Linked DNA regions of Yarrowia lipolytica. The protein of the gene in region 2 interacts with the protein of the main gene of each other region in a pairwise test. Links are inferred from orthologs where the notes say so. Each region holds a gene or a part of one and is shown on either strand. Other genes may lie near its edges.

Region 1 (3,700 bases), on a different chromosome or scaffold from region 2:
TGCTATGGTGTGATGATAGTATTGAACAGGTAACAGACAGTACAAAACTGCGATATTTGGACAACAAAACTAAAAGTAACGGTGACCAAAAAATAATAATACAAGAAAACCACCGCTATCTATCCCCACTTGAATAAAAAGCACGTAGCCAAGCCATTGGTTGCAGTTATATTCGCTTGCATTTGCCCCCACCAATTTGAAAAGGCCTTCATTATTACAAAGCCAATGTGGGAAATTGGTGCCATTGTGTACAATACAGTATCGTAGCTACTGCACCGTTATACAAGTTCAAAAAGTAGCTACTTGTACCAGTACTCGTAGCCGGGAACTCCTCAAATGCATAATATTACAGCTACATTTCGTTCAATAAATACTGTACAGTCGTTAGAGCGCCATACTACTCGCGGTCTCCGGTCCCGCTGTAGCAACTGTTAAATGTTACCTTCGAGCTACTTGGACAATTATGCCTTCGAGCTACAACCAGTACGTACTGTCTGAGCTACTTGTATTGCCCATACGGTACATAGTCATGTATCGTCCTCAAAATATTTTCATATAATCAACACTATATCATGCGTGTAACCACGCGTCTTATTTAGTATGTTACTCCTTAAGATTGTTTGCACTCCTGGGCCTCCTTCTTGCCTCCCTCCTCGTCGTCCTCATCATCATCGTCGTCATCATCCTCATCCTCATCGTCGTCCTCATCCTCAAACTCGCCCATGTCACCATGCTCCATCTCCATCTCCAGAGCAAATCCGGTGAACCAGTCGACGGCTCGGGGAATGAGCTGCTCCTTGATTTCCTCACCAATCTGGTAGTCAAGCTGCAGAGCATTGTCTCGCTCCTCATGGTCAACCTCCTCGTCCTCGTCCTCTTCCTCCTCATCCAGGGCCTTGGGCGGGCTGAAGAAGGTGAAGAAAGACTCAGTGGGGACGGCCTTCTCCACGATTCGGGTGGCCTTGGTGTGCTTGTTTCGCTGCTTTCGCTTGGTGATCTCCATGGTCAGGTTCTGCTCAGGCGACTTCCAGTCGATCTCTTCACCCTCGGCGTGGTCGTACATGAGCTCACCGGTGTCAGACACCTTGTCGAGGTAGAAATACGACTTCTTGAGCTGCTTGTTGGTGAAGAACTCGTTCTCGGCGAAGTCAAAGATGAGCACAAAGCCAGGCTTGTCGTCGAGATACTCCATTCGCACATTCATGAGCGACTTGAGAGCCTCGCTATCTCGCTCGGAAATGAGACCGGAGGCACCGGGCAGGTTCTGGATGGCGGTGAGCCAGAAGTAGGGAATACCCTTGGCATCGGACTTATCATCACCCTCCTTCTCCTCTTCTTCGTCCTTTGCATCCTCGTCCTCCTCGTCCTCATCCTCCTCAACATCGTCTCCGTCGACACCAAACATTCGCTCCATTCGCTCCTGTTCGTATTTCTTACCGGCCTCAACCTGCTCCTCAGATACCTCCTTCTCGCCACCAATGACGGCGGCTCGTTCGGCGTAGATGGGGGCAAACTTGGCCTGGAACTTTCGCTCCAGTTCCAGCATCTCCTTGTGGAACTCGTCCTCCACCACGGAGGCCTGCTGGTGCAGGGCCTTGAGACCATCGATTCGTCGTCGCACAGCCAGAGGCAGAGAATCGACGTAGCCCGAAGAAGTACCGGCCATCTGGTTGAGTCGACCGGCAAGATGGGACAGCAGAGCGGGGTCTCGGCTCAGAGCTCCGAGGTCGACCTCCCCCTGACCATCCTCAGCAATTGTAGACACTCCAGGGTTGGCGGCTCGCTGGAGGAAAGATGAGGCGTTGGAGGCCGGGGTGTTCTGAGGGGTGGGGGCAATGCTGGACAGCTGCTCGATTCGCTTGGACTTGATGGGTTCGCTCATGATTATTTGAGTGCACTAGGTGTGTGGTGAGGTATGTGTCTGTGTGCAGACTGGTGGGTGTGTGGAAAAAATCTAAAGCAGCTGCGGGTGGTCTGTTGGAACAAGTATCCCAATTGGAGTTTATTTGGCTAAAAGGCAGGGTAGAGCTAAACAGGTGCGGGAGAGGAGATGGAGGAGGACAAACAGCAATCGGTTAAAAAGACGAAAAGCATGGCATGTATCCTGATTAATAACCTGTACTTCTACAGTCTCTTCCCCATTGACCTACTGAATTGAGAATTGAGCGTCTGACTGGTCATACGTACGTGTGTTCTTTTCTACGATACCTGCGCGCCCATATGTATCCTCATTCACCCCTGTGCACACAACGTCCAGCACCTGACGACAGACTCACACCAATCTCCAGAGCACGTTATTCGGACGTCGTGGTTATTGATTATTCAGGTTTCTGGGGTAGCTGTGACAATGCACCTAATATTAGGGGTAGTTTCTAGAACTTGACTGCCTGCTGTTTCGGAGACAAGTGTGCCTGCACTCTGCCAGTACAAAGCCTTCCTCCTGCTGCTGGTCCTGCCTTGTTTGGTGCCTGACCTGTGCGTACATTACATTTTTTTTTCAATTCTCTCTTCGAAGTCCATCTTCAACCGTGCGGTGCGGCGTCTTTTTTCGCCACTGTCCTCTTCTTTGGCTGCTGTCCCCAACCTTGGCAAGCAGACCAAGGGTTAATCTCAAAATGAAATCCGCGGCACCACAGGGAAGGAAGGGGTACAGTAGTGTGTACAGTAGTGGCGATACGACGTAGATTGTTGACGACCGACTGAAATCAATTGTGTGTGTAGACTCTCTTGTGGGTAGTTGCATACGTCACAGTTGTCAAAATGTTGTTTGCAGGACAATTCACGTATTACTCACACAAGCACTTGTTTTTACGTTGGTACTCTTTTAACGGTTGCATGTCCTAAACTGGGGTACGCTGTGGGTGACAGATTACCCCATCCCGCGAAGCCACGATGCAGTAGAAGTGATCGTAGACATCAACCAGGAAGCTACAAGTACGAGTAGAATCAAGAGATACGGTCTCAATTTGCCACCTCGCTACCGTGACTCATCATGAGTCATGCTTACCTCCGACGATTGCAGACAATGCCGACTCCCATCTATCTTTGATGGCCATAAACCCATGGCATAAACTCGGACCCAACGGATCCACGCATATTCGAAACCAAGCCTCCAGGTCCCAACCCCAATTGACTCAACACGTGCTGTGGAGTGACAGAAACACAACAGTGGTCGTCAAGTGCCATCGTGGCAGAACATTGGCCAGTGTGACGACAATCTGTTAATATGCACGTGATAAGCTAACTACTTGTAGGACTATCTCTTATACTTTCCATAACGATCACACTACGATACGATACTATCATATTGTCCAGTACAAGTGCTTGTAATTACTGTAGGTCTTGTTCCAAATAACCCACAATGCTCCCATGAGACACGACTCATCACCGTTAAGGTATGATTGCTATCTTCCGTTTCCCCGCTTCTTCCATTGCTCAGTGACGGATGAAGGATGAACCTTGACTCCACACGAAGTGGAAGGAATGATCACTTGAGCTGGAAGGCAGGATCCAAAAACTGGGGTAACGAAACGAAGGACATAACATACAGTACATTATCGTACCTGACACAGAACAACTACAATTATTGACCTACTTGTACTTGTACGACATGTGTGTGTGATCATATCAAGATATAGGTAATTGCTGCAGCATAGGTTTCTCTGGAACTCTGGACGCTATTGTTTGATGGTTCTCGCAC
Region 2 (4,943 bases):
CTGACTTTGCGCGAGAACTGTCGGCTCATTTGGTCCACCCGTTTCAGCAGCGCCACATGCCGATTGAGACTCAGTTGGAATGAGTCACGTGACGGCCGCAATTCTTCCACGAGTTTGTTGTATTTGTGCTTCAGATCCCGAGTAGCTTCTATGCATTGTTCTTTTGTAGATGGAACAGCGAGAACAGGAGTGGTCAGAGCTTGCTCCAGCTGTTCGGCGTAGTGTTTTGAAAGTCGCTCACCCTTCTGTTTGAGATCCTGACCAATTTCTTCGGTAGAGGTCCACACCAAGTCCACGATCTCGACCAGACTCAGCTCTTTTGTATCACTTTTACGGGTATCCATGCTCATGATGAGTTTGTTGAGATAACTCAAGCTTCGATCATTAGCAGGAGAGTTTGACGATGAGGTGAGGATAACATGTTCGGTCTAACTTGACCAAAGAAGCTCGTATCGAAATAATAACAGCTTCCTTGTGATACTCCAATGCTTCTTATTCGATTTCAGCTTTAAAATTCTGAAATACCTACTATTATGCCCCACATCTCTCCCCCCACCAACTCCATGCGGCTCATTTAAACTCACCCCACAATCTAATGATAGGCAAAAAAAAAAAAAAAAAAAAAAAAAAAAAAAAAAGACACTGCGGGAATCTCCTTACTGTTGATAACTACAAGTACGCGCAATCTGCTGTTCAATAATAAATAACTGTTACGTAATATCTGGTCCGTTTTTGCACCGTCCATGAATGGGTTGTATGTGTCCTGGCCAGTATGCTCGCATCTTCAGTCTAGAAACTCCTGCCCCTTGTGTCAAAGTCCAGCCCATCACCATCGTCTCCGTCAAAGCTCTCCTCCACATACTCGTCTTCGACCTCCTCTTCAATCACAGAACCCTTTCTATCGGGACGCTTAGAATTGGTGGGACGAGACCGACTGGGAAACAGAGCCATGTTGGGTGAAGACACCTTGGTGGCCGACTTGCGTCGCCGGCTGGGCGGCTTGTATGTGTTAAACTGCGCCGTTTCGTTATAATCGTGCTGCTTCGAATGAGCCTTTTTGTTGCTTGTCGAGTGACGTCCATAAGAGGTGGTGGGTGTTTCTGAGGGCCCCGGAGAGCCGGGATCGGTTGTATCGTCTCCCAAATACTCGTCTGTAGAAGACGTGGAGGATGCCTTGGAATGTGTTTTTCGATGGGATTGGATCGAAGAAAACGACGAGGAGGTAGAGCGACGGCCAAAGTAAGGTCTTCGCATGACAATGCGTCTGCTTCCCGAGCCAGATCGTTCTAGAGAAGACGAAACGGAAGGCGCCGATGAAATGGCAGAGATGCCGGAGATTTGAGAGATACCAGAGAAGGAAGAAATCTGCGAGATTGGTCGTTCTCGACGGGTAGTTCTTCGGAAAGATGTCATAGGCTCGATATTGTCCTGGCTGTTGAGAGAGGTGAGTCCAGGTGCACTTTGTGGTAGTGGAGGTACGTCTGGAACGGTTTCTGTCGGTGCGATGCCCTCCTCTAGGGAGGTGTTGGACTTGTTTTTGATGCTGTAGGAGTGTAGAGACGAGGGGAGGGATCTTCCAGTGCCGGAAGACTGACTAGGCTCCGACTGGGTATTACCCTCAGTTGTGGGTTTCTTTTTGCCAATGAAGACCATTTTGAGCATGACATTCTTGAGAGACTTGCCAAAGTTGCCCTTCTTTTTGAGAGAAGAGCCGTCAGATGTCACAGAGCGGTTATCAAACGGAGAGGCCTGCAATCGGGGACTTTCGCCAACCGTATGTGGTCTCTCGAGTGTCACAGACGTGTCTGGAGTGTTGGTGGCCGTGTCTCTCGGTGATCTGGGAGAGTCAGGAGCAGGAGGAGAAGTCATGGCTTCACCTGTGGTAGTGGATCTATGGGGCGGTCTGAAATCAAGGGACTGTCTGGGGGTCGACACTTGTTCACTGGACGGTCTTCTAAAGTCTCCAGACAGTCTGTTTCTGATTCCTAGGCCGTCGAAGTGCCGTACTTTTGATAAGGGAGAAGAAGGGGAATGAGGAGCGGTCATTTGCATTGAGTCTCCGATATTCTCTTCCGACGGCCGCTTTCGAGCGATATCAAACGAGTATGAGAAGGCCGACCTTGATCTTCTTCGCGACTGCTTGCGTCGCTCCTTTTTGTATGCTTTTTCCAACGATGCAGCCCAGAACCCGGCCAGAGAGTCGCATTTCATCTTGGATACGGACTCGTAGAGGTTCTCAATGCTAATATTGAGCGCCTTCATGCGTTTCAATACATGTTTTTCCATCTTGGTTGAAAACAGCTTGGGTTCTTTAGCTGCCAGCATTTCAGCCTGCCGCATACCCTCCAGACCCAAAAAGCCGTTGTTCAGCACCTCAGCGAGCTTGGGTCGCTGATGAGGGTTCTTGCAAAGCATTCCTTTAAGCAAAGCCAACATATCTGCCGGCAATTGGTGTTTGGCATAGTCCGGTTCGGCGTTCATGATGCGGTTTTTCGTGTCCTCCTCGTCCTCCTCGTCAAACGGCATTTCGCCACATACCAGGGCGTACAGAATGACTCCCAGAGACCACACGTCGACAGCTTCTCCGCTGTACTTTTTGCCCAGCAGCATTTCAGGAGCCATGTAGGCAGAAGTGCCACAAATAGTTTCCAGCATGACTCGTGACTCGTATCCTCGTGTGAATCCAAAGTCGCACAGCTTGACGTTATGGTGTCTGTCCAACAGAATGTTTTCGAGCTTGAGGTCTCTATGGACGCAATTTTTGGTGTTGTGGACGTAGGTGACAGCTCCACACAGTTGTGCAAATATTTTGCGGGTCTCGTCGACAGACAGTCGTCCGTTTTCCACCAGATAGGTGTACAGCTCGTCTCCCGGACAGTACTCGAGCACCATCCAGACCACCGTCTCCGTGACGATAATCTCGTGGAGACGAGTGATATGAGGGTGTTTGAACTGCCGGTGATGGTGAATCTCTCGCACAAGGTTGGGGGCGCTCTTGGCTGACGACTTGAGTACCACCTTGGTGTTGGTGAACTTGTGCGTCGCCAAATACACCTTGCCAAACGAGCCCTGCCCAATGAGCCGAACCACATTGTAGTTGCCGATCACCTTGAGCTCGGTAGCGTGGAAATGGTCCAGCAGCGCGTTGTATGACTCGGACAGCTGAGCCTTGGCATTGTTGATGCGGGCCTTGTCTGCCATTGTCACGCTGGAGAGGTCTGAGCAGCGAGTTTGGTCGGTCGTTTCAGTCGCGGTTACGCTTCACCACATACATGCAACATAGCCTATCTTGTACCTGCACCTTTACGTAATGTCAACATCAGGGGGGAGGGTTCTTTTAGGGGTAAATGTGCGGGGGTTAGGGTAGTAAAGTCAATCTGGAGAATATTTCAGATGTTTATAGCAGATCTGCGAAATATTTTTACGGAAATACCAGCTCGAACACTTCTTTAGACAACCCTCTTCTCGGGCTACCTAGAAACACGAGTCAAAACCAGTGAGCCAAAACACGCTTGAGTTGGGACATGAAGGATAGAGTTGTTCTTCCAACTGCAACCGAACGGAGTGTTTCGAGTGGGTGTTTTCTAGCAGATAAAAGTATGGTGAGGGGATGTTTTTACAGCGGAAATCAAGTTCTGTGTGTTGGTTTCATCTACCGTCAAATTTTCAGACCCTCATCTGCTCCTGAACCCCGGTAATTTCCCACCGTCGCTTAATCTCGCTTATTTACGAGTGCGTCACACAAGTGAGATGAGTTTTCGAGGGGAAAATATATGGTGATAGGTGGGTATTTTTGCGTAGATGGGGTTTCCAATCTCGGTTTATATGATTTCCCGTTGGTTCGGACTGATGCCGTTGTTCTGGACTGTTCTGGTAGCTGCTCTGTGTTCAGGTGGTATGTGCAATAGTATGAGTACAGCATGTACTTGTAGTTACTTGTACGCACGTCTCAGACTACATGTAGGGTGACAACATACAGCCTGTCATGTCCGTATTATTGGACAAGAAGCCATTCTTCTAATTTCGATTGACTTATTATCCAATCTATAGATCCAGACCCCTGGACTTGTACCGGTACCTCTAACTGTTCGGAATATCGAGAGAGTCCCCTTATTCCTTCTTCTACACCAAGTCCAGACCCCTGAGAGTTGTTTTGGTGGCGGGAGAATCATCCAGGAAGAACACCAGCAGTATTTTGGACTCACTAAAAAAAGATGAATTGCTTGTGAGAATCTTCAAATGCCAAGATCCACCCATCAACTTGACTTTCTCCTTACAGTACATGACACATCTCTCTGATAGGTTCAAAAGTGACCGGATAGATCTGATATTATGCCTGTGTTCTCAAAAAGCTACTTCTAACATACTCAAAACTTTGTATTCTAGTTATCTCCCCCCCCTAGTCCATTTTACACCAACATCACCAAATCCCTTCGACTCCTCATAAAGTTAACCTCCCAGGCTGCATCATTATGCGTCTCATCATGTCCCTAACGAAATAAATTATTCACAACCAACACACAACACTGGCGACACAAAATGGATCTTGACACCGTCACATACACCATTGCATGTCGATCTGTGGCTCCGAAGGACGTGGTATTCGCAGCTCTAGAGCTCTGTGCACAAGTAGCTCCGGGGTACATTTGGTACCGAGACTCGTTCACACTTGACATTTCGTCTCCAAACACAGTTTCTGGTTCCACGACCTTTGGGCCTGCCCTGGACGACGAATGGCTGGTGGTATACATTCTTTACCGTCTTACCTTACAGCTTCCCGTCAGTGTGCATGTGAGTGATTCTGATGGCGACTTTCTGTTGATTGAGGCGGCCCATGTGATTCCATCCTGGATAGAGCCTGAGACCGCCGAGGGGCGTCTGTGGATCAAAAACGGACAGTTTGAGCTCATTCCGCGGTCACAATTTAACGGCGACTCTGTCCC

Evidence for each region.
Region 1: the proteins of YALI1_E29235g (region 2) and YALI1_B19044g interact in binary tests that used the Saccharomyces cerevisiae proteins (3 or more experiments, as listed by UniProt). The link is inferred for Yarrowia lipolytica from reciprocal best matches to the Saccharomyces cerevisiae genes YPL150W and NAP1.

What each region holds. Positions count from the first base shown.
Region 1 is NC_090771.1:1,902,590-1,906,289, forward strand, and holds YALI1_B19044g (uncharacterized protein), read right to left. Parts: upstream 1,883-3,700; coding exon 611-1,882; downstream 1-610. UniProt on the Saccharomyces cerevisiae protein: Acidic protein, which assembles histones into an octamer (in vitro). Involved in the regulation of the localization and the function of the septins during mitosis. Involved in the function of B-type cyclins.
Region 2 is NC_090774.1:2,921,741-2,926,683, reverse strand, and holds YALI1_E29235g (uncharacterized protein), read right to left. Parts: upstream 3,202-4,943; coding exon 790-3,201; downstream 1-789. Other genes in the region: YALI1_E29263g (uncharacterized protein), read right to left, coding at 1-350; YALI1_E29221g (uncharacterized protein), read left to right, coding at 4,540-4,943. UniProt on the Saccharomyces cerevisiae protein: Putative serine/threonine-protein kinase.